Linked DNA regions of Caenorhabditis elegans. The protein of the gene in region 3 interacts with the protein of the main gene of each other region in a pairwise test. Each region holds a gene or a part of one and is shown on either strand. Other genes may lie near its edges. The genes, in order: drp-1, pycr-4, ech-8 and btb-10.

Region 1 (5,146 bases), 4.7 Mb from region 3:
AAACTCGGAGAACTTCTGAAGACATCTATTCGAGTCAACACGCAGAACAGTTTTGAATCTGGCCTCCAGTAAAGTCTCGACATGTTGATTCATTTCGATCTCCAGGTTCTTGTAAAGAGTGAGCATTTTTCGCGGCTCCAGCTCACATTTGTAAAGCGTAGCTTTCATTCTTGTAACGTAGCTGAAAATTGAAAATTAGAGCTTTTGGTTTGGTCAAAGTTTAAACAACTAAAAATGAAAAACACTTACAATTCGTATAGCTGCTCCGCCGTAAACACAGACTCATGTTCTTGTAGATATTGCTTGAAGAGGTCCAAATTCACGTCATCGAACAACTGCATATTACACGTATTTTCGTAAATGAACTCCCAAATGAGGAGCTCATCGTCGAATGACGGTTCTGACGGCTTATTCTTCTTTGCTCGCGTTGACATTTTTTGAACGCTGAAATATCGAAAATGAATTTTTTGGACAAAACAAAAAATGAATCCTAAAATTTTCAAAACCGTGCGGATGAAGCAAAAGCGCAATTGCCGCACGGTTCTATGGGCGTGGTCAATCTCAGCTGTTGGCGCAGATCGAGTGACACTCGAAATGCGCCAGCAGTGCTATTGGCGCATGTTGAGTGAACATTTTTTAAAGGGTCGGAAAAAAGATATTAAAAATAGTTCAACGAGAAAATCAACGATAAACACGAAATATTTTCAAGCATCATCAAAGAATTTCATATAAATCCACCTTTCTGTTTCCAATATTTTCAAAAGCCACAAAAAAAACTAGAATCTACAACAAACCGTGATTCTTTCAAGGAGCACACAATATTATCATGAAAAGAAAACATCAAAGGGAACGGAGCATAGAGATCATACAGAAACGGGGGAGTTACCGAACTAGAATTATCATCGAGGCGAAGAGAAGAAGAAAAATAGTTAAAATACAATAAATCGAATCAATCGTGAAAATAAAATTAGAATCGTCCTAATCTACATTGCAATAGTTAAAACAGCTGGAAATTATTTGATGGGAATATCACCAAACTTGTGTTTCTCTCACTTCGCTGATGATCACGCTGGCTTGTTGGAGGGCCTGAAAACAATAAATTGTGTCGAATCCAATCAAAAAGGAGACCGAATACCTTCATAGTTTCAAGAGTATCTCTTCTTCTCTGAGCCATGTCTTCAGTTTCAGCCAACAAATCGTCCATCTCGTCGGGTTTGTACAGCTGACGAACGAGCTCCGATTGCAAATTGTCCTGAAATTAAAGAAATTAATTTAAATTTTTAAATTTAAGCTTGCAACTCACTCTAACAAAATTGACCAGTAACGCCATAATAGCTTTCGGCACACTATCCTGAATATTCTTACGAACAATGATGAAATAGTTTCGAATAAGCCGTTCTGAAAAAATAAAAAAAAACCCAAATTAAAAACTGAAAACTAGGTCTCATACCGATAATAGCGACATCTCTTTGTTCACGACTTGTCAACTTTCTTCCTAGTTGCGTCTCTGGCACTTCTGGCAAAAAATTTGCTGATTGCTCTGAAAATATAGATACTGAATGACCACAAACTCTTTATTTTTCCACTGACTTTCTTGTGGGGACGTCTTGCTGCTGGCAGCGGCGTTGCCGAATAATCCAAGGAATCCATTGGAAGCACGTTGGTTCTGGGATTGCTGCTGTTGTTGTTGAAGAACAGCGTTCAAGTCGACACCATTAACTCCTGGTACCGGTTGTAGCTGCTGAAAATTGTTTTAATTTGACTGCTTAATACTAGGAATCCAATGAGGTTAAGCCCATGCAATATTAAAGCCCAGTCAGTCATCCGCACTTCCTGGCAGGAAGTTCCTGCCCCCACCTGTTCTCCATGAGCACTGACCGCTCTTTCTCCGGTTGATGCATGTCGATTTCTACTGCGACCATGCCGATCGTCGAGAAGAAGCTCCTCTTTCAAAAGTGTCACCAAATTGGCTTCTGTGAATTCTGGATGTTTTGTATTAATGTAAGCAAGTTCAATGGCTACAAGATTCTCGACAAGCTCATTGGTGGGCTTCAGCCTCTCTTTCAGAACTCCACTAACGACCTCATTGATTTTATCGTACAATCTTGGGAAACGAATCATCTCCTGTTGAGTAGTGAATCCGCAATGCTGAACCATTCGTTGCATTTCTTCGTGTACCAGCTCAACGCATCTCAACGATGGCTCCTCCAATCGTTGAATTTGTCGCTTGACAAGCAATTCAAATGAGACTTCTGGTACGAAAAGAGCTGGCCTTGGTCCTGTCGCGTTTCTAATCGCAGTCAAAATATCCAATTGTGTGAGGTTTTCCAATGGATTGACAGATTCCAAAGATCTTCCGAAGGTATCGTGGAAAATGTAGCATATACGAGCACCTCCGCATAGCTCAGTTGTTTCAATATTGCGGGCAGTTCCTTCGATAGTTGATGTATAAGCAGTTGCGAATCGAGTTATGATTTGAAGAAGTGTTCTGTTCTTATCTTCAACTGGTTCACCGAATGCAACAAGATCCGATTGGCATTGGGCGTTCATGATAGACACGCGGGCTTTCAGTGCAGGAAGACAGTTGCGAATATGGTGCATGAGAAGCTGAAATTAATTTCTAAATAATTTTTTATTTATTGAAATTCTTACCATATTCAATCTCTTTGCCAAATAAGGAGTTCCATTTCTGCTAGCTAATGTTGGATATTTCTTTTGCATAAAGCTTTGCTCATCTTTCACTGCATCCACGATCAGTTTGTTGTCGAGAATATTCTGTTGAGATCGATTAACGACTCCAATAATTCCCAACTTTACTGGAATCACTTTCCCCATTAATACGTCCATCGCATCAGTTCCTTGATCCATCAAATCCAATTTCGTGAGAACTGCGAGAGTTCTTTGTCCACCTGCGTCCACTTCTCTAGCTAACTTGATAGGCTCCGAAGTAGCGAAATCCTGGTTCGCTGGAGTTACAGCCAGAATGATAGAAGAAGGATTTGAAATGTAGAGAAGAATCATTTCACGGATTTGCTCTTCAATATTGACTGGTTGATCACCAACTGGGATCTTTGTGATGCCGGGAAGATCGACCAGGGAGAGGGAGACAACTCTGTGGGAATAAATTTTCAAACTGATTGGAAGAAGAGAGATTCCTTTATTCACTCCAGTTACACGATCAGTTTCATCTTCGATTTCTTTTCGCACGGCATCGAAGTCTGGAAAATTGTTTAAATTTCTCGCAATATTCAAATTACTAAATTCTCACCTGTGAAAACCTTAGAGCCAGTATGTTCGAACATTGCCCAATCATCTGTGAGAAGTGTTCCATTTGACCGTCTTCTTTTGGATTCATCATCGAGAGCAACGTGATTTAACTGAAGAATCAATGGCCTGCGAGTGACAATTCCAGTACCACGCGGCAGAAAATCCCGACCGACTAGATTTTCGAGCACTGAAGACTTTCCGGCCGACTGTGATCCGACGACTACAATCTGTGGAAGTTGAATTTGATCTTCTTTCCTGCCTAACGTTGCGAAAACATCCTGTAGTTTATTGACGACAGGAATGAGATTTTCCATCTGTAAAATTTAAAATTTTTGAATCGAAATGAGAGTATCATTTATATAAAGAGTTTTACGAGGAGAAGAGTAAAAATGACGAGGCAGTTGCGAAATGATGTTTGAAATGAGAAAGAACAACTGCCAGTGATCACAAAGTGAAAAACAATGCATTTGAACACACCAGTGATAACAAGTGATAAAATGTGCGCAAATAGAAATTCAGATAGTCTACTTGGCCTTCGATTGACTGTGAACGCCAACTTTTATATCATCTTTTCGATCCTGCCACTTACTCATTTTTCCCTGGGAAAATGTCAACCATGGGAGTTCCTATACAATTTTGCATCATTCTGCGTAGTTTGTTTCAAACAATGATACAAACAGTAACGATCTTTGAGATTTTTACGGAAAAATTGATAAAATTGAGGCAAAAGTTGACAAAACCGACGGGAAAATCTCTGATATCCGATATTTCCGCCGCGGCGCTGAACTCAAAATTTCGAGCACTCCGCAATAATCCTCACGTCAGATTGCAGACCGTGCACCCTATCCGACGACAAATCACGAGGAGTATTTTCTTTTCTTTTTCTTCTCGAATTTCTGCAATTTCTATTAAAATTCCGCCAGTTTTTTTTTGGAAAAATTGGCGGTATGACACCAAATGGACATCATTTTCGAACAGTAATTTATAATGCTGCGGCGGTTGGAAATTTGCAGAGAATTAAAGTAAGCAAAAAGCTCAAGTTAAAGAAAAGTTGTCAAAATAAATGAATTTCCAGGTTTTCACAATAAATTCAAGAAACGATCGACAATGGATAATTGATTGCTTCAATTCTGATCAAGACGGACGATATCCACTTGTGATTGCTGCAAGAAATGGACACGCAAATGTCGTCGAATATTTGGTGGGAAAAATGAAAATTAATTAATTAAATGAGAAGATTTTCAGCTAGAAATTGGAGCCGATCCATCTGTTCGTGGTGTTGTGGAATTTGACAACGAAAACATTCGTAAGTTTTTATTTCTGTTCTGAAAAGAAAATAAAACAATAGTTTTCAGAAGGAACACCTCCTTTGTGGGCTGCCTCCGCTGCTGGACACATTGAAGTGAAAAATATTTCATTATTTAATGCAATAATGTTTTATTTCGATTTCAGATCGTAAAGCTCTTGATCGAAAAGGCAAATGCAGATGTAAATCAAGCAACTAACACAAGAAGTACTCCATTAAGAGGTGCATGTTACGATGGACACTTGGATATTGGTAATTCCTTGAAGTCGAAGAAGCTTTTTTAAAAATAAGATTTTCAGTGAAATATTTACTCGAAAAAGGTGCAGATCCACATATACCGAATCGTCATGGTCATACGTGCCTGATGATTGCATCCTACAGAAATAAAGTATGATTTTGAAATTTTTAATTAACAAAATATGAGAAAAACTAAAATTTTGTAGGTTGGAATTGTGGAAGAGCTCCTAAAAACCGGAATCGATGTGAACAAGAAAACCGAGAGAGGAAATACGGCTCTTCATGACGCTGCAGAAAGTGGAAATGTGGAAGTTGTGAAAATTCTTCTGAAACACG
Region 2 (3,794 bases), 2.8 Mb from region 3:
ATCAGCTGGATTTTGTCAAGTCGTAATCACCACACCAATGGAGCTATTGAAAATTCGAATGCAGCAGTCTTCTGATAAAGTAAAAGCTACCAAGCTGATCTGGAATCTGTTGACAAAGGATGGTGGTGTTCGTGCATTGTATAAAGGCCTTGGACCGACAATGGCACGAGATGTTTCGTTTTCAGCAATGTATTTCCCGCTTTTCGCCTATTTGGATGGCCTCGGTCCACGAAAGAAAGACGATTCAGGTTTGTCGAATTGTTTACTGAAACTTTAAATTTTCAAGTTCATATTTAAGGCGACGCAGTATTCTGGGCAAGCTTTGTATCAGGATTAACTGCTGGAGCAACTGCATCATTATCAGTGACTCCATTGGACGTTGTGAAAACAAGAATTCAAACTGGAGGATCCAACTACAACGGAATTTTCCACGCGTTTTATCGTATTCTCGCTGATGAAGGTGTAAAAGCTCTTTTTAAAGGAGCAATTTGCAGAATGATGGTAATGGCACCACTTTTCGGAATCGCTCAGACTGTCTACTATGTTGGATCGGCCGAAAAGATTCTCGGCTTGGAAAAAGGATCAAGAGTATAAATTTCCCCCCAATTCCCAAATTTTCACAATTAATTAGGGCTCATTTCTGGCCAGTCATTTGCAATGTTTAACGTTTGCGTCGGTTTCGCCTAGAGCATTTATTTTCTTTTTCAAAAAAAGATTTTTTTTTTAAATATCAACAACAACAAGTTATGTGTGAAAAGCATTACAAAATCTAACTTAATCACTTGGCCAGAGATTTTGCCATTTCATCGGCCTTGGTCGAGGCAGCTACCACAGCTTCCATAACAGCGTAACGGAATCCGTTCTTCTCAAGTGCCCGAACACCTTCAATCGTTGTACCGCCAGGGGAGCAAACCATATCTTTGAGGGATCCAAAGTGCTGAGTTTCAATATCAAATCCAGAGTTCGAATTGAGCACCATTTGAGCTGCTCCGAGTACTGCTTGAGCAGCTAATCTTTTAGCCTCTGCTCGTCCGAGCCCTTGTGCGACGGCTCCATCTGCCAGTGATTCGATGTACATAAATGTCCATGCAGGACTACTCCCTCCAATAGCCATTGCCGGGTTAAAGCATCTTTCTGGGATAAGTTCGACAGTTCCAACACACTCGGCGAACTCGCGTGCCAATTCGATGTGAGAATCTTGATTCATAATTTTTTCATTCTTTTCATAGCACATCGTCGAGGCGCCGGCTCCAATAGAACTTGCTACATTTGGCATCAAACGAACAATGGTAGTGTTTCCCGAAACGAATGGCAACTGGAAAAATGTTATGTACAGCAAATTATGATTTCTAAAATTATTTTATAACTGCTTATAGTAATCACCTTCGCGTTGAGAACTTTTAATGGAACTCCAGCCATTACAGAAATAATAAATTCTGGTCTTGAGTTTACAGGCCAGCTTGACACAACTTCTTCGAAAACTTGAGGTTTCACACAAATCACATAGATTGCCGTCGAATATCTTTCCAGCATTTCCAGTGTGTTTGTGAAAACGTTTTTATATCCTAGTTGCCTCCATTTCTCAGCCGATTTTTCCGTTTGAACGCCAATTACAATATTGCTTTTCGGTGTAAAGCCTAAAAATTAGAAAACAATTTAATTCAAATCAACGAGGAGAACAATTTTTTAACTCACCTTTATTCTGGCATCCTTTTATAATTGCAGCGGCCATATTTCCACCTCCGATGAACACGAATGGCACAGACTCTGAGGACCCGTTTGTCAATTCAGTATCGATAGTCATGGTTTTGACTGAAATCAATAATAATTGTTTTTGACACAACAAAAAGCAACATATTAAAAAAAAAAGAAGAAGACATGAGCAGAGGTTTGCCCGCTTAACGAGATTCTGTTTCTCAACTGCGTCTCTGTGCGTTTAACATATAACTGGGTTCTATTTTATGTCTCTTGTTAGACGTCTAGACGTCTAAGTCTCCATTTATATAAAAGTTACAATAAGATATATTATGGTACATGCTGGGATCATTTTAGTACCGAAATTGACATGAAAAACTAGTATTCTATAAAAATTTGTATCTTAAAACCGTGAAAGGCACAGAAAGTCACCTAGATGATTATTTTGTCATCATTCCAGAGGCCGTATAGATAATAAAATATATTTGTCATCGGTTCAGTTTTGTCATCCTGCTCTGGAAAATAATTCAAAACGTTCAAACCACGAACAAAACAGTAGGAACAGGTGAAACACAGAAAATAAACACTTCAAAATTTCTTTAAAAAATGTAAAATTATTTTATTTATGATAAAAACTTGAAACATCTGAGCAGATACGGTAGACATATTAAAGGCGCATGCTGAATATTGGAGATGGGTTTTGGGACGAAAAACTACGGTCTTTTTTCGCCTGCCCGCGCAAATTTTAGGCGCGAATTTCTCTATATTTACACGAATCTTAATTCTTTTGGATATCATTTTAATTTTCAGTTATTTTCTCGCCTCATCCTAATAAATCGTTTCAGACTATTTATTTTTGATAAATATAGTGAAATTTCTGAATTTAAAGAAGTTTTCCGGTCTAAAATTACGTTTAAAAAAGCTGTATAGTTAGGAACACGTAATTTCCACGTTTCGATCAATTTTTACTGAATGTGTTAATTGTTTTTCATTATTTAATTTTTGTTCAACACAGTTAAAGGTAAGGAAATGTATGAGATTTGAAACGCTTTTCGTGTTTAGTTATTGGTTTTTTGCTTCAAAATTCAACTATTTGGTTCAAAAAAGTCTTGTTTCTCTCACTCTAACACTTGGAAATTGCGCCCTGCTGACACTTATTTCGGCGGCGAAAAACATTTTTTGAAATGAAATTGTTCACTCATTTTTATAATCGTTCTTCTGTTAAATTTTTTAATTAGAGATACCAGTGTATTATAATGTCGTATTTGCAGAATGGGTCGCCTAGGCGAAGCAAAAGCTGTGGACTTGGAAGCGGAAACGTCGACTGTGGGCCTTTATGATGTGTGCACCGTTGGGCGAATCCTTCCCCGTAAGAAAATAAAACTATTATCTTTATGATTAATGTAATTAAATGTATGTTTCAGTGTTAAATGAGATGTCAATCGATAAGAAATCTCCGGCATGGAAGCTCAAACCGAAAAGTAACGAGCGATTTCTTGTTCTTGCGTCGTGCTCCGATCTGGCAGTCTTCAGTCTTGGCGAGAAAAGCGACTACTCGTTCAACACCGGACTTGGAGGTATGAGCTATTTCAGAGTCTCTGGAATGATTTCTCAACATTTTCAGGAGCCATCACTGATTTCGAAATCCTTGGAAGTTCTTCCTTCTTTGTTGGAGTCATTGAACATCGTCGTATTGTAATTCTCTCGCTGGATAAACAAGAAATTTACTTGAACGAGCCAGCTCCTCATGAAATTGACTTCGTTGTCTGTCACACTACTTCCAGTGTTTGCCAATTGATTTTCGGGAGCCGATCTGATAATTGGCATACTATCACATTGCCAGGAGACGTGGCTGCATCTAAGGAGACTAACCGTTTCGAAAATTGGCACAGAGATCAGATTCAGGAATTTTTCCACCAGGTAACGCTCATCACATTCATTTAAAGTTTCAAATTAATTTTAATACTCTCTTTTCAGGCAATGGGAAAAACGGTTTCAAAGTCTGTTGACATGTCGAAGGTCGCAGGTGACATTACTCTGATCTCCAATGGGCCACTTCAGACGTTCGCTTCAATTGATCAGCAAAGAGGGATTCACTG
Region 3 (4,970 bases):
ACAGAGTACAGCTAAAAATTTGAAGTTTATTGTCGGTCATATCGAGCACCAGAGGAAACACTTTTTTCTTGAAAAAATGTGTGTTCTACCTATTTACCAAGTATTTTTCGTTTTGATATCAAATTTTTAATCCCAACACAATCAGTAATATTTTTTAATACAAAACGTCATTTCAGCAAGGCAGTCTTTATGTTGATTTTTGTGATTCTGTAAGGCAACATTTACTTCCACTTTCTTATCAATTTTCAAGCTCAAATGTCTAAGAGTAAGGGTTGATTTCATATGACAGTGCTTGTCCGGTTGAAATACGAAAAACGCCCACAAAATCCATGTTACTGATAATAATGATAAGTGTACAATTGAATGTCTCAAGATCCGTTTTTCGCTAAATGTACCGTACTTTTATTTTTATAATTATTATTTGTGCACCTCACGGGGTTTATCCAAAAAAATACAGAAGACATTTTAATTTTCAGAATTAGAGATGGGCAATTGGTCTTGCAGATTGATTTGCATCAAACTTTCGACAAAATTTATAATCCCCAGCATGTCATTTCTTGTACATAGTAGATCAATTGTATACAGGGTATTTATTTATGTTTTTACAATAATCATCTCTTTGAACATGGTAACGAACTACAAAATTTATAATTTCGCTGCAAAATTCTTCCTGTCCACATTTTGCAACGTGGCCGCAACTTTGTATGTTCTATCATTTGGTTCTAAAGAATTCCAGAGAATAATTGTGCTCGCAACTTTTTCAATTCCTTGAAGCCATCCAAATCTCATCGGACCACCAGTAGCAACAGGCCATCCAAACCCGAGAATGCTGAAACAATTGTGCTCATAATTTTAATTTTTTTTTGAAATTAAGTTTTACTTACAACATGATATCGATCAAACTTTCATGATGGATGATTCCTTCCTCAATGCACAAAAGACCTTCGTTGACCATGGGATACAAGAGGAAATTGACGGCATCCTGGTAAGTTTTCGGTTGAATTTGAATGAAATTAGAAAGTGAGTACCTGATCGTTCAAAATTTGTATATTTGGACTTGCAGCTGAAGAAAATTTTCGAATGAGCTGCTCCATTTCTATATCATTCTCCTTTTTGTGAGTATTTGGATCATATTTGTAGTATCCCTTATCTGAAAATTACACCTAAATTGGTAAAAAATATTGGGCTTTTCGTGACAGTTTTGAAAATCTTCATTTTGAAAAAATAAATTGAAAACAATAATTTCCGGTTTTCCTTCTGGAACGTTCAAAATTTTGATTGGCACTTATCATTACCACTGAAAAAATATTTTAAAAATTTCAGACTTCAGCTTGTCAAATATTTCAAACTTTTCTTATAGCCGGAGCGAAGGTATTTGTTTTTTAACCTATGTATAACTATTTGCCGCTGGTGATACTCCAAAGAAATTGAAATTATCCGTTTCTCAGTTCATTTCACAATTTATTTAAAGACGTACTTGTTTTTCTACCGTATCTCTTTTGTCTCCAAACTTCCTTTTCAAAATCACTTGCTGGCCATCCATTCTCCTTTTTCAACTTTTCCATTACATCTAATCCATTCATATCAGCTACTGTTAAAGGACCCATTAGGAATCCAAAGTTTGTAATGATTTTATCAATTTGATGAGGAAGATATCCGTATTCATACATCAACTTTTGACTCTGATTCAGATAAACTCCAAGTAGCCGGTTAAATACAAATGCTGGACAGTTTCCCACAAGAACTGGTAGCTTTTTGATAGATCTACATGCTTCAAAAGCTGTAGCAACTGCTTTGGAGGAAGTTTTCGATCCGTAGATCACTTCAACCATTCGAATCAAATTTGCCGGATTGAAAAAATGAATTCCAACTACTTTTGTTGGATCTCTAAGTACTGATGACATCTGAAAGTGAACATGTTCTTTTGGAATAGTTAACTTAAAGCGTACCTCATTCAAATCTAAACTTGATGTGTTGGTTCCAAAAATACATGATGGTTTGCAAATTTTATCAAGTTTAGTGAAAAGTTCCTTTTTCAGTTTCATATCTTCAAAAACGGCTTCTACAATCTGAAATTTTTCTTTTTTTTTCTTTTGAAAATAAAAACAAAAACTCACCAAATCACAATTATTTAGCTTTTGAAAATCTGTAGTTATCTGTAGATTTTTTCTCAATTTTTCAACTTTTGAATCGTTCAGTCTTCGAAATGCTTTTTCCCTTTTGTAAGTGATTTCCAATTCATTTTTACAGAATTCGGCAGCCTGCAAACAAGTTTAACTGAATTGATATTATTTTTAAACTTTATGGCTACCTTATTGTTAACTTCGACAAGATACGTCTCAAATCCTGATAAACAAAATGCGATTGCAATTCCTCTTCCCATGGTTCCACCTCCAATTACAGCCACTGATTTGATTGGAATTGATTTCGAATTTATGTAGTCACCGCGATCATTTGGAAGAGACCACTGAAATGATCAATTTTCATATTCTGATGTAAAAAAATTGTGATTTTCAGATATTGTTAAAGCTGAATGCTGAAAAACTTTGCAAAGTGTAAAAATGCGCGTTTTTCTCGAGCAAGTTCTTCAAAAATTTTGGCAACTGACTAATCAAGGGATTTTCTTGTTTATTATTATTTTTCACCACAACTTAGAATTTTGCCATTGAATCATATAGTCGTGCTCTTCGATATTTGAAAAATACTTTAAAAAAATATTATTCCGATGTTTGCCGGATGAACTAATATTTTATATTATCAATGAAATCGAAATCTGTAACTTCAGCTATTTTCTGTTCTCTATATACTATAAACGATATCGTTTTAGTGATTTCTACCATTGCTCAATTCAAAATTCTGCCGAAAAGTGGTCTTCCCTCACTGAAAAATACCAAAAACAAACAATTCACAAATCTACAGAGTGCCCACGGATACGGAAAAGCGGAAAATAACTAATTTCTCATTCAAAAAACTTTATTATTTTAGTTTTCAAAGTTACCTGAGCCGCCAATTGATGAGCCTCCATCAAATAGTCCCTCACTGCTTGTGGCACTTTATCCATTTTTCTGAATTTCAAAAATCTAAATTTCAAAATAAAACCAATTGTAACGAATTAAAAGATCTAAAGAAATTGCATTGATATATGCCAGATGTGTCCCACGTTAGCGATCAATTGATAAGAAGAACATTGTAGCCTATAGGTACATTTTGGCCATTAAAACAACAATAAAACACGGTTTTATTTATTTTTGAAAAAAAATCGATGAAAAATCATAAATGTTTCTTCAATTTGTGCATCCGAGTGATTCGATATTTGTTGTAGTCATCTTGGATAGTTTCGATGATTTTCTGGAATAAATTTGTTTTTAAATAACTCCTTATTATGTAATTTCAAAAATAAGAATATAACATTAAGAACAACCAAACCCGGCATTTTGGAAAATTTGGACCATTGCTCAAAAACGAAAAAGTGGGAAAATAAGGAATTGAAATATTTTGGAACTCTATTAATTTATGTTAGAGAGAATTTCTGCAGAAGCCGTTCCTTTTCAAATGTTTTCTGTTCAATGTCTAGAAAGAGTGACCACATTTTGAATACACCTTGGCCAGAAATTGGTCAAACTTTGCTCGGAACGTGTTACAGATTTCAAATATGAGGTGACCTAAGTCTGACCCACCAACTTTCATTTTTTTTAACCTTCCAGAACGCACACATGAAGTCTTTACCAAGGCCTGATCAAAACCAAATCAAAAGGTTTTACCAAAATTTGACAAAGTGTAAATATTACAGATGCGCGGTCTAACGTTAATGAAAAGATATTATTCAGTAGGAAATTTGATTTCAGACTTACCGGATATAAATCAAATGCAGCATGCGTACCGAATACAAAATCCATATGACTGTAGTGTGGAAGTTCCAGTGATCCAGCGATTGTTTTATTCATTTTTGACAGAATCGAGTCTCTACAAATCATTCATTTAGTTACATCAAAACTAATATAATTGATTAACCGAATATCTTGAGTATCAGCCAAAATGTCGTCACGACTCCAATAGAGATAAGTTGGTGTGTTGATCTGTGTCAAATCATATTCCGGAGGAGTAGGTTGCCCGTATTCAATGATATTTCCATCAGTTCCATAATCAAACTTAGAAACAGTCTGTGATTTGACAAGTTGAATCCAGTGTTGCAAATCTTTTACAGAAGTGGCTGCAGGTGTATGACAAAGATATACACCAACTCTTGATTGATTGAACATTTTCTCATTTCCATCAATGAAACCGATGTCCAATGTACAAATATTTTGCATAAAGAATCTGCTGCACATGTAACTTATCATTTTTTGAACAGTTCGCGGAATTGACAGTGGAGAGTATGGAAGTCGACCGAGCAAGATTTCTGCATAAGTTAGAAACTTTGTCCCAAACAATCCAAATAGACCACCGATATGGGATACTGTTGCAACTGGAGCCAATGCATGGAAATGACGAATCTTAAATTATTGTTGCTTTTGAGGAGGTAAAGAAAGACTAAAAGCATATTAACTGATCGTATGTAACTTTCTACAAAGAAAATGTTTGTTAGCATACAGAAACTATAAATATATACTGATCGTGATTTTCAATTTTGTGCAAAGCATGAGCTTGAGAAACAAATGTTGGATTACGGCAACTACATAAGTAGTCACAACAAAATGTACTGTTTGTAACTACAATACCCCATAATACGAGTAGTCATACAAAAACATGTCAAATACATCCTTCATCGCACGGGTGCCGAAAAACTGTCTGACTAATTATAATTAGAAACGAATTAGATTTGTTTTAAAATTCTCTGTGTCTAGCAATAAATTGAAATACCTTCTTTGCAAATTCTGGATTTTCTGCAAGTCTTGAGAACATAATCATAGTTCCTTGTGAGTGTCCCAAATAATATAAAAACTCTTGTTTTGTCTCCTTCAATACCAAAT
Region 4 (3,726 bases), on a different chromosome or scaffold from region 3:
TTTGGCGGTTACTTCCAGAGATGTGGCTGTCAGATGGACGAAAAAAAATGGGGCTCGTAAGGGTCCAGGAACCTTCAATTGGCATGGACAACTGACTGTTGTCAATCTCTTTTATGCCAAGTGGTATATGCTCTACATGGTTGGAGAGTAATTCTCCTTGCAATTGTTCCAATTTAAACTCATTTTATGGCGTCAGAAGAGCTCTTTTTATTTGTAAAATTAAATAATAAATGTTTATATTCTATGTAATAATTTTTTTACGGAAACAAGAGATGAGAGGGTTTCCTCATAACCAAGAAAATTTCAATTGTTTATAGCCAAACTGTGAAGCCCAGTCGTTTTTTTTTTGCCCATTTCGCTGTGTCTGGTTTTAAGAACTTGTTGGTTTTTCAGATCGGGGCTCAGTACACCGGGTGCTGAGCCTATTTTTTGAGCTGGTCGACTTGCTCGAGTTTGCAACTCATGATTGCCTTGTCAAAATGATCTATAAAATCATGTACCAATGCTTATTGAGAAGCTTAACCCTGCCGCTCACGTTCCCGTTTGCGCGCAATTATTATCGCCCTGTAAAAGTCATGTACGCCCAATTGAAGAACCTAATAATTCAAAAAAACATAACAGAATGATTTATTTCCAAGAATCAAATCAGGTCTTGAAGAAAAAATCAAGATAACTCAATGAGTCGATCCAAGATCTTGGCTTTTGTCGCATCCGATAACTGCGAGTAATCATCAGATCCTTTGAACTTCTTAGCCTGATCGAAGCTTTCCATCTTCTGGATTTCCATAGCCAATAGCTTTTGAAGTTCGTATTTGTCTGCCAGAAAAATCAACCGTTCATTTGGGAACTTGGTGTCTCGAATGATTTGATTTTCCACGTGGCGCATCACTGCTGGGATCTTGAAACGATTTCCCAGCTCGAGAAGGACTTCAGCGTTTTGATCTGAAAATTGAGATTAGTTGGTTGCTGGAAGGGATCAGGAATAACTCACGATTCGAGAAAGCCGCTTCAGGGTAGATAATACTCATGAGAAGTCCGAAATTCTCATAGGTCACGTTTTCGATGGGGATCCCGTTTTTCTCATCGAATTTCTCAGCAAATAGATCACAGAAATAGTCGGAGTGGTAGGAGAGGAACTGAAATTTTCAAGCTTAGCTTAGCAAGATTCCAAATTAAAACTTACAGCCTTGTTCACATGAAGCTTCTTCTCTCCGATTAAGAGCACCGCATCGTGCTTCCTGGACGGCTCGAACATTGTGTCATAAGACCTGACCTGAGGATTGAGGTCATGAGAAATCTGAGGTGGCTTGGCTGGGTAGCGATGGAGTTTTAGATCAAACGAAAACGACCAGCGGTATGCATTAATGTATTTTGGGACTGTCATTATACAGATTCCTCCTCGTTTGTCAAAGTTCGAATCAATAGGCTTCAGTTGATGCCCATCATACGACAATTGGATGAAACCAGTGATCTTCTTTATTTCTTGCTGATCCCAATCCAGCTTTATTTTCAGGTGAATCTTGTCAGTCTCGAATTCATCAGTTATCTCACTAAAAAAATACTGTTTCATCTGTCGTTCAATAACATTTTTCTTACCATTTTAATCCGTTCAAAGGACTGATATCAAAGAGGTGGTAACCTCTTAGGTAGTAATTTGGTTCGCTTTCAAATTTAATATTTTGAGTAACAATATTGTCCATTGTTTCGGTAAATTCTGGAAAGATGCAAGGATACAAGAATAGACAAAGAAAGCAGAAGAGAAAACAAAAAAGATGATTGTAGGGGCCCACAAAAATGTAGAGTGAGAGTAGCCTAGGCAATTTATGCGCGCACACGGTGTTGCAGATCGATACAAACTGTGCGCAGATGGGAAAGGTTGCTGGAAATCTTGGGAAGGTGGAAGGCTCTTTTCCCGCAACGAATCTATGTGTTCAAATCAATCTGCTGAATTTCTTATCGAACTGAGAATTCGCTCCGAGAAACCAGTCGTCCCTGAACAGTTTGGAGAAAACTGAAAAGTCAAAGGATCTACACGGGATGTAAATGTGCACCTCTTACTTTTGGTTTTTTGTTAATTTTTAACAGAACATGGTAGAAATCCTTTTCTGATGCACTTTAAATTATCTGTGATTATAGTTTTCTTTGGAAATTTTTAATTTTGTCAAGACTTTTTGATTTAGTACTAAATTTCTTTGATTTCTTTTTGGCTTTTCTAATCATATAGCAAGCTTTTGAAATAATTTTTCAAAATATATTTTTGGTGAATTTTCTCAAAAAAAATTTTCGCTTCCAATTTTGATGAAACTTAGAAAAATAAAATAAGATCATGTTATTTTCCATATCAAAAACAACATAAAAACTTACGATTCCTACTGAGAACTTTAAAATATTGAAGTAAAATTGGCGTTTTTCAGTTGAAAACAGTAGTTTTACATATTGAAACTGTTATATCTCAAAGAAAAAATATAATTTTTTTTTTGATAATATTACCAAAAATGTTCCCATTAATTTAACTTTCAAGAAATATATTTTAATTTTTTGTAGCTAATCAGGTTCTAAAGTTATGTCAATTTTCGCCAAAGGTACCCATTTACAACCCAGTCGGAGGCAGGGGTGTGCGGCAAATTTGCCGAATTTGCCGTTTGTCGAGCTCGGCAAATTTTGAGATTTTCCGCACACCCCTGATCGGAGCCAAGACCCTTTTGGTGGTTAATCCTACCCTAAAGTACCCAAATCAGTGTTGTTCCACATTTACCTCACATTCATCACATCGAATTATGTCGAATCCCCTGAATGCTTTTGGTATTTGAAACAAGCTAAACGGCAGATGGCCTGAGCCACCTGGCTAATACCTCACCTCCCCCTAATTGCTTCCCGAGCCTCGTAGTGTGCTCATTTTGCTCCGTAAACTGCCATGAATGCCGGTGAGCCCCTTCCTTTTCCTATACTCCGACTACCGGAAAAATCAAGGATAAATGTGCTTCGCAGTATGGAAATTGTGCATTTGTGAGTTTATGTCAAATTTGATTTTTTTTTTTTTTGAAAAAAAAAATTTAGCAAGCTTTCAGGTCACGTTTTTCAGTTGACACATTTTTCCGTTATATTTTTTCAGGAAAATATGAGATTTAACAATTTCTCCAACTTATTAAAACCTTATTCACTTCCAGACTCGCCTTCTCCTTATGCTCCGACGCCACCAAAGAAATCGTGAAATCACTCCACCTGAAAGTCGACTCGAGTGGGTTCAATTTTGCAAAAGGTTTCAATTTCAAGATGAAATTTGGGAATAAACGAGTATGGTTGAAGTTCTACAATAAATGCCGATGCTTTGTGCCAAGTTTTGACATTCCTCAGTTTGTAAAAATATCAATGCACGGTCACCATGTGAATGTGTTCACCCGGAAAACCATGAGATCTTGGCTCGAATTCTTGATGGATGTGCTGGCGATTCAGAGGATCGATTTTAGTCTAAAAACTCCCTTGGACTCTGGGAATTTAGACATTGAAGGTCTAACAAGGGTTCTGGAGGGGATTGACGGCTTTTAGCTGCTGATTTTTCATCGGCAACCCCAAGATTTGATGATCTGACTTCGAAGCTTTTCTGGGCAAACTTACCATCTGCGAATCAAGTTCTAATTCGAAACTGTCTGTACAAAGACTCACAGGATTATCAGAAAGTTTTCATTCAGAACCTCGACAGACTAGTTCTTAAGCCAACTCTTCTAT

The links.
Region 1: the proteins of ech-8 (region 3) and drp-1 interact in a two-hybrid assay, tested with the Caenorhabditis elegans proteins (one large-scale study listed by BioGRID).
Region 2: the proteins of ech-8 (region 3) and pycr-4 interact in a two-hybrid assay, tested with the Caenorhabditis elegans proteins (one large-scale study listed by BioGRID).
Region 4: the proteins of ech-8 (region 3) and btb-10 interact in a two-hybrid assay, tested with the Caenorhabditis elegans proteins (one large-scale study listed by BioGRID).

What each region holds. Positions count from the first base shown.
Region 1 is NC_003282.8:5,536,925-5,542,070, reverse strand, and holds drp-1 (Dynamin-1-like protein drp-1), read right to left. Parts: upstream 3,584-5,146; 5' UTR 3,582-3,583; coding exon 3,269-3,581; intron 3,219-3,268; coding exon 2,653-3,218; intron 2,608-2,652; coding exon 1,858-2,607; intron 1,742-1,857; coding exon 1,591-1,741; intron 1,541-1,590; coding exon 1,451-1,540; intron 1,399-1,450; coding exon 1,304-1,398; intron 1,253-1,303; coding exon 1,136-1,252; intron 1,087-1,135; coding exon 1,030-1,086; 3' UTR 706-1,029; downstream 1-705. Other genes in the region: tebp-2 (SPK domain-containing protein), read right to left, coding at 1-181, 250-434; Sex-determining protein fem-1, read left to right, coding at 4,215-4,289, 4,343-4,468, 4,513-4,573, 4,623-4,669, 4,720-4,825, 4,873-4,961, 5,017-5,146. UniProt on the Caenorhabditis elegans protein: Functions in mitochondrial division. Functions in peroxisomal division. Mediates membrane fission, perhaps mainly of the mitochondrial outer membrane. Mitochondrial fission may be promoted by recruitment to mitochondrial membranes via the egl-1/ced-9 complex.
Region 2 is NC_003282.8:7,475,486-7,479,279, forward strand, and holds pycr-4 (Putative pyrroline-5-carboxylate reductase 4), read right to left. Parts: upstream 1,813-3,794; 5' UTR 1,805-1,812; coding exon 1,696-1,804; intron 1,638-1,695; coding exon 1,384-1,637; intron 1,316-1,383; coding exon 779-1,315; 3' UTR 678-778; downstream 1-677. Other genes in the region: slc-25A18.2 (SLC (SoLute Carrier) homolog), read left to right, coding at 1-248, 299-594; Kinetochore-associated protein rod-1, read left to right, coding at 2,968-3,064, 3,120-3,272, 3,320-3,615, 3,673-3,794.
Region 3 is NC_003282.8:10,236,054-10,241,023, forward strand, and holds ech-8 (Enoyl-CoA Hydratase), read right to left. Parts: upstream 3,124-4,970; 5' UTR 3,062-3,123; coding exon 2,999-3,061; intron 2,468-2,998; coding exon 2,312-2,467; intron 2,262-2,311; coding exon 2,118-2,261; intron 2,070-2,117; coding exon 1,950-2,069; intron 1,905-1,949; coding exon 1,478-1,904; intron 1,151-1,477; coding exon 1,029-1,150; intron 983-1,028; coding exon 885-982; intron 830-884; coding exon 646-829; 3' UTR 573-645; downstream 1-572. Other genes in the region: lipl-7 (Lipase), read right to left, coding at 3,271-3,348, 3,852-3,963, 4,012-4,493, 4,861-4,970.
Region 4 is NC_003280.10:1,059,049-1,062,774, forward strand, and holds btb-10 (BTB domain-containing protein), read right to left. Parts: upstream 1,755-3,726; 5' UTR 1,701-1,754; coding exon 1,597-1,700; intron 1,551-1,596; coding exon 1,184-1,550; intron 1,137-1,183; coding exon 992-1,136; intron 943-991; coding exon 665-942; 3' UTR 614-664; downstream 1-613.